Cricetulus griseus: one gene and its partner. The protein of the gene in region 1 interacts with the protein of each later gene in a pairwise test. Links are inferred from orthologs where the notes say so. Each region holds a gene or a part of one and is shown on either strand. Other genes may lie near its edges.

Evidence for each region. The genes of interacting proteins can lie anywhere in the genome.
Region 2: the proteins of Ube2k (region 1) and tripartite motif-containing protein 30A interact in binary tests that used the Homo sapiens proteins (3 or more experiments, as listed by UniProt). The link is inferred for Cricetulus griseus from reciprocal best matches to the Homo sapiens genes UBE2K and TRIM5.

Annotation. Positions count from the first base shown.
Region 1 is NW_023276807.1:132,582,154-132,586,123, reverse strand, and holds the start of Ube2k (ubiquitin-conjugating enzyme E2 K), read right to left. Parts: upstream 2,801-3,970; 5' UTR 2,599-2,800; coding exon 2,536-2,598; intron 1-2,535. UniProt on the Homo sapiens protein: Accepts ubiquitin from the E1 complex and catalyzes its covalent attachment to other proteins. In vitro, in the presence or in the absence of BRCA1-BARD1 E3 ubiquitin-protein ligase complex, catalyzes the synthesis of 'Lys-48'-linked polyubiquitin chains.
Region 2 is NC_048596.1:95,219,799-95,223,298, reverse strand, and holds part of tripartite motif-containing protein 30A, read right to left. Parts: intron 2,086-3,500; coding exon 2,063-2,085; intron 1,041-2,062; coding exon 940-1,040; intron 712-939; coding exon 685-711; intron 461-684; coding exon 1-460.

The DNA.
Region 1 (3,970 bases):
TGGTCAAAAATAAGTCATTAGATCCACCAAAATTCTTAAACACCAGCATATGAATTAAACCTGGTACACTGGAGATTTACTGAGGTGACATGCTGAAATAATTACTTGATCAGCTATTGGAAAAATTACATTTATATACTTAAATAAAATATATAGATTACACTATGGGTCCTTCATTAAGGTGAAAATTAACCAACAGCCTATCTATGGAACTGAACATACTAAAACATTGATGAAACAAAATACTGAGAATAGAACTAACTGTAGTGCTTTTTATATTACTAAATGGTTTTTTTTGTTGGTTTTTTTTTTTTTTTTTTTGAGACAGGTTTCTCTAACAACCATGGCTATCTGGAACACTGTAGACCAGGGTGGCCTCTAACTCACAAAGATCAGCCTGCCTCTACCTCTCAGTGCTGGGATTAATGGCTTGTGCTACCATGACCAGTTTACAATATTAAATTTTATCTGATCTTTTCCAAGTATCCTTTGCAGTTTACTTTCCTGGTTCCTAAGTTCCTACAAGGTTTATAAAGGCACTGTTCCTGAATAACTTGTGTTTGCAATCCCTGTTTTCCTAAGAGATAATGACAATTTTTTTAATCTCATTCTTGAGAATGAACTTTTATTTGCATGTGTGGGTATAGAGGTCAAAGGATAACCTTCTACCTTGTTGGTCCTCCGGACCGAACTCAGGTCATCAGGGTTGGCAGCAAGCCTCCTTTACCCAAGGAGTCATCTCCTCAATCCATCACTTAAATAGAAAGTCACATCACATAAAGCAGAGGATATATGGATTTTCAGGCCAGTAACCTGACACTTTTAAATAAAAGAAAGCATTACAAGTCTAAAGACTTGTACAACCTTATTGTAGAAAAAACGTTTTAGGCTGCTGACAACAAAATCAGTTCTCATCTTTCATTAAGAATATATGTCTACAATCCCAAAGTACATTTGCTTATTAAAGAAAAAGTTAAAATCACTGTTAAAATGTATGTGAATACAGACATTCACACTTTCTGCACTGTTCCACAAAAATACAAAGTCATCCTTCCATTCAGAGTTTTGGCAAATGAATACAGAGGTCAGAGTTCATGCTATGTAAGACAGATCACTACTTATTTCTTAGTCTGTTCACTAAGCCTGCAAATATAGTCACTTCAATTTTAAGTAAATTTCTACCAAAGATGGATAATTATCTGCAGACTCAGTGGCACAAATAATGCTGGAGTGCTAAAGGATTTGTAACAATTCCTCATATACTTAAAATATCTAATTTTAAAGATCGTTATTGGCATTATCAAAATACCAAGCACATAAGAACATATAGCACTGCTTATTGGACAGTGGAATGTGAACCTTGAGAAAGATAATTACTTTCAGAATTTTCTTGCTAACTTCAATCACAGAAAATCTGGGATTTTTGTTCATTCAGATCTGAAAAATTGTACTATTGTTTGCAAAGCTGAGTCAGATTGTTAAAATTCAATATTTCACATAAGTATGACCAGCATTAACGTATTTAAATTTTGAAGGACTCACGGGTAGTCTTATTTTTTAGTATGCTATTACGTGACATATTTTGTATCAGAACAAACCTAACTCAATAATGAGCTACAACAATGCGAATCTGATGAAATCTCTTGTTTTTAATATGCCTCTTTTCAAAAGTAAGACTTAAGTTACCTACAAGGGACATCATAATGAAGTTTCACAGTACACTAGTCACAGAGGCATTGCCCTAGGAGAGACTCTGATATTGGTAAACAGTATTTTGAAATAAGCTACTCATCCTTTTTTCCTAGTTCAAATCATTTAATAACAAACTTCTTGCCTTTCATCAGACAAACAACTAAATGTCAATGATGAGGCCTAGTGACTGGTGGAGTGCGTGGAAACGAGATGATTATCTAATTTGGAATTCATTTCCTATATGTAATGAAAACTGCTTCAACACCCCTTCCAAATACGAGACTGACCATTATGTCTCCATGTGTCCCCCAACACTACTACAAGGGAGTAACTGAATGTCTTCCTTTCGTTCATACCTAAGGACTCTGTAGGCTCCTTCCTCAAAGAAAAGACAGCAAAGGACTGGCAAGCAATACCCAGAGTACCCCGAAAAGTGTGGGCCTGTGAGGTGCGCTGCTGCCGGGGATCTAGTTACTATCTTTCCCCTTCCCCCAACCCACTTCCCGGGTTTTCTCGGCCTGCTCCTTCCCCACCCCAGAGCCACACAGACAGATGTTGCCTCCGCCTCGGGGCTCTCCCCAGAGCTCACGTGTCCCCGACAAGTGCTTCTGCATCTGTCCCCCAAACCCCGTTCCTCCCCAGGCCGGCCGGCCGCCCGCGAGACCGTCTATCCCAGGGCCCGGGGAGGGGAGGGAAAGGCGGCAGGAGGAGGAGGGGAGAGCGCCGCTTCCCCATCGGCTGAGAGGCGGCCGCAGCGAGGCCAGCCGGGACCGCCGGGGTCGCGGAAGGGAGGGCCCTCCCGCCCCGGGCTGAGATGGGGGTGTCCGGTAGATCATTTCTGACCTCCTCGCTCTTCAGCACCTCCTTGAACTCCCGCTTGATTCGCTGCACCGCGATGTTGGCCATGTCTCTGCCCGCAGCTGATTCGTACCCGCCTCCTCCGCCACCGCTACGACCACCGCCACCGCCGCCACCTCTTCCTCCACCGCCTCCTCCCTCAGTGATTCGGACCCGAGCACACGAACGCTGCCACTGCCACCCTTGCCGCCGCGTTCCCCCTCAGTGTAGAATCACCTCCGCGCCCGGCCACCAAAATGGCGCCGGGTCCGCGCATGCGCACCACGCTGACCCGGGCGGGCGGCGCAGCCGCTCCTGTGGCAGCCCCATACGTCTCAGCAGCGAGCCCGCGCCGCGCCGTGCCGCGCGTCTCAGCCGGGGCTTCGGCCGCGTGGCTCCGCCCTGCCGGCGTCTGGGGCGAGGAGGGTGCGGCTTCCGCGCCGGTCAGCGGGGTCTGGGCCTGGCCGGTCCTCCCCTGGCCCTCCGCCCCTTATCCCGGGAGGCTCGGAGCCGAGGTGGGAGCCCCACCTGGCGGGTTCCCCAGGCCCCACCCGGCCTGAGCCCCGCTCTAACTCTGCCAGACCCAGAGCCCACGGGCTTGAGGTGCCTCCCTGTGTCCAACCGAGGAAAAAGCTATGCAGGAACTCGGTCCTGCCCAGCGTCCGTTGGTAAACCCCCCCGGGAAATCCACTGCCGTAGCTTTTGTTCTGGAACCATGATAACGCAGCTATTATTCGGTCATCTCAGGTATTACACATTGAAGTTGTGTAATGGTTGGATCCCACGGGTTGTGCTTGCTACAGGTATTGCCAGGGAGAGGCCTGTGGTTGGTTTAAAAGCCAGAAGTTAATCTTTGGCCTGTTTAGATAATGAATGTTGAGCTGTAGAACTAACATTGTTTTAAAACTTGAGGTGCTTCAAAATCCCTGGAGAGCTTAAGATTGCTAGGCCCTATCCCTACAGTGTGGATGGGCCTAAGAATTTGCATTCTTAGCAAGATACCTGGCTGCCTATTTTTCAGCGACTACGCTGTGAGAACGGCTGAATTAAGCATATGAAAATCTGTTATGATTATAGTGAAAGTTGGAGAAATAGACACTCCTTAGGAGGATGAAGGAGCTCTAGACCTACATAGGTGTTTGGCACTGGTAGATTTAAATAAGCCGTGAGTATAATTGAATGGAGAAGATGATAAAGGAGTAAAATGTTTTAGGTCAACAATAATGTTGGAAGGCGATTTGAAAGTGGTCAGTAGAGTTTAAAGCAAATACTATAGTTTGGGTACTGAGAGGTACTTTGAAATAGTGGAAGTTTTATTTTAGGAGTATGTTTCGTGTATTTCGTCACTTAATCAATCACTTGAATATTCTAAGACTAATAGGAGCTTCGTGTGGTGGTCCACACTTGTAATCCCAGATTTCAGGAGTCTGAAGCGGAAGGG
Region 2 (3,500 bases), on another chromosome or scaffold:
GCTGCATAGTCAAGGAAAACGCCAACGCGACAGGGAGGAACCATCAGCGAGAGGGTCAAGACCCTGGGCTTGCCTGTGAAAGTACACTCCTCAAAAGCATTATACACAAACTTGTTCCACAACCCTATGACCCAGAAGCCATATTTAGGTTGATAATGTGAGTCATTGCTGATACCCAAACGAAATAAAGGATTTAGGCATCTTTCAGCATTTGAATGAAATATCGGATTGAAGAGGTAGCTTCCATCACTTAATCCCAGAACCCAGGCACCTTTTCCAGACACATCCATTTCCCAATAATGTTTTCCTGATTGGATAGCAGGGTAGCCCAGGACACCTTCACGACAGTTCTGACCCCCAGATGCAACATTTCTTGTTTGATGGTCTTCATATCTTATTTGTCTCTTGTCCGCAGTAATGACAATGTTTGGATTGTTGTTTTCAATCAATGTCACTTGAACTGCACAAAAATGACAGGAGTGTCATGAGGACAGGAAACAGCCTTATTTGTGATGTTATGAATAAAAGTTGAAGAAGAAAGGAACTCTGTGTAGAAATCACAGCAGAGGTAGATTGCAGAAGCATACTACATATCTTGGGAGAAGCAACATGACACCTAACAGAAACATAAGCTCTGCAAGACAGTGAGAAGGGGGTGGCTTATGTGCTGTATTTTCTCCTTACCCCAGTAACGTTGGGCTTCTATGAGCTCTGAAATGATAAAAATTCACAATATTAAATGCAAGCAAAGCAAAGGTATTCTAAAGTCCATTTCTTCTCAAGATCAGGGGGAAGAGTTGAAAACCATAATAGGGTCAAAGATGGTCATGTCCCATCAGAGATGGTCAAATCATCCATACGTGGTATCTACCCTTCCTTGTTCATATCTAGAAGCTACTAGATTCCCAAAGCTAAGTCATGTAACATAACTCTCCTCACCTTGCAGCACTTGCAGCATGCCTTGCAGATCAGGGGCTCGGAACACTCTTCTTCGTTCCTTGGGGATAGTTTTGGGTCTCTTGAGTGAAAAGGCATGACTCCTAAGGATAAAAACAATTGACCTCCAGTCCCTCTTAAGGACCCCCAACCACCACTGATTTCCTCTCATTTCAAACCACAGACACACTTGAGCTCTCTTGAGGATGCTGAAGAGGGTAGCCTGCCAGCTGGGGATACAACCATGTTCCCTCTAGCTTACTTTCAGTGTGGTATTGGGAAAGCCATATGTTCTCAAAATCATCGTTCTTACCTTCTAAAATTAAGCAATTTATTTTCTCCCACTCTGCTTCCTTGAACTCACAAGAGATGTTAACATAATAAAATCTTAAAGCAAACCAAAACTAAGGTACTTAGGGAAAAAGGTGTGGAAAAATATTTTCATGAATGTGGTTTCTTGGGAAAGGATCAAACAGCAGGCAACAGAACCCATACCCAGGTGCTCAAAGCAAATCAAGTATAGGAAATACATCTGGAAAAGTCCAATGTCTTCAAAACCTGTAGCTAATTATAGAGAATCATTGATAACATCTGATTTTTCAGGCTCTCTTGGAAAAATAGTTGGAAAAGATGAGGACATCAAATTAAAGCAAATATGATCCCAGTGTCTTAGGAAAATCTTTGGTGTGGCCATGTGGGTGTGCTATCCAGACACAAGGATATCCTCTTCCAGCCAGGTGTTGGTGGCTCACGCCTTTTCCAGCACTTGGGAGGCAGAGGCAGGTGATCTCTATGAGTTTGAGACCAGCCTGGTCTATAAGACCTTGTTCGAGGACAGCCTCCAAAGCCACAGAGAAACCCTGTCTCAAAAAAGCAAAAACAAAACAAAACAAACAAAGAGTACCCTAATCTTTTATCCTGAATCCCGCTACTGAGCCAAACAGTTCCCCACAACCCATTTCTAATCTATCCTCAATAGTGGCAAAACACTTGGTCCCTTTTTTTTTTTTAAATCAGAAATTCAATACTACATCTAAATGGCCCCAACCTGGGAGAAATTATGTTCTATTTGAAGACTAAGCCATTCTTACCACACAGAAAGACTGCCACTGGCAGCTATACATACCATGATATGATGCCATCCACACCCTAGATAGGAAGAGAGAAAACAGGAATTAAGACTTCTCATTGAGATGGCGGGTGAGAATCCTTGCAACTGAAACTCTGTGAAAGAAACTAGTCATGGTAACACATGATGAGCCATTTCCTGCAAGTGATAGTCTGTAAATGATCTGATTAAGGCAGCAGAGATCACTGTAGGGAAGCAGGAGCTTCCCCACAAATGGACTACTTCCAGAGCCAAGTCCACTACTGAAGTGCACACAACAAAGCAGTCAAAACATTACTAGGACCAGAAGACATCATGGTAGAGTGCAGGGGAACCACTTGGGAAGGAGTTAGAACCTATCCTTCCACACACACCAGAACACAGGGAACATGGGAGCTGTAAAGATCTATGTAAGACCCTAGCTGCTCTGACACAGCACCAAGAAGAACCTTCTAGAATCAAAGGGATCTGAGAAGCACATCTTTCAACTCAGCACAACTGTGTTAGAAATTCTCTCCAACGGCATTCTTTTTACTTATTTTCTATCATTATTTATTCCATTCTTGCATATGCCAGACTATGACTTGGCTTTTGTCTGTGACTTGGTCAGTTAGGCTTTGAGCTTTGAGATTTTTTTTTTCTCTCCACACAGTCTACTTTTGTTTTTTGTTTTTTTTTCCGAGACAGGGTTTCTCTGTAGGTTTTAGAGACTGTCCTAGAACTCTCTTTGAAGACCAGGCTGGCCTCGAACTCACAGAGTTCCGCCTGCCTCTGTCTCCCAGTGCTGGGATCAAAAGCGTGCGCCACCACCACCTGGCTAATAATGTTCTTTGTAAGACTTTTCAACCACATTTCATGGGCTTCCCTTCTTATTCCTACAGTTTTTTCTTTCTCTGGTTATTATCTCTCCTCTTTTAACTTGTTTCTAAATTTCTTTTATATTTTATTTTATGTGTGTTTTGCCTGCATGAATGTCTGTGCACCACATGTGTGTCTGCTTGATGCCCATGGAGGTCAGAAAGTGTCACATCTCATGGAAATGGGGATGGTAGTGAGTTTCCACATGGATTCTGGGATGGAACCTAGGTTCTTTGCAAGAGCAGCATGTATTCTTATGGCTGAGCCATCTCTCTGGCCCCACATTTTTACTTTTTAATTATAGCCTTTCATAGCTTTAACAATGTCTAAAATCTGTGGACCCTGGCATTATCCCAACATTCCCTCTATAGACAATTTTTCCACTTTGGCATTTAAAAACAAAACAAAACGAAACAAAACAAAACAAACAACTCATACTTGGGCTGGAGAAATGGCTCAATGGTTAAGAATGCTTGTTGCTTGCTATTCTACATGGTGGTTCATAGTCATCTGTAACTCTGGCCTTCGGAGGCACTAGGCACATGCATGGTGCATGTGCATAAAGGCAGGCAAAACACACATGCACATAAAATAAAAA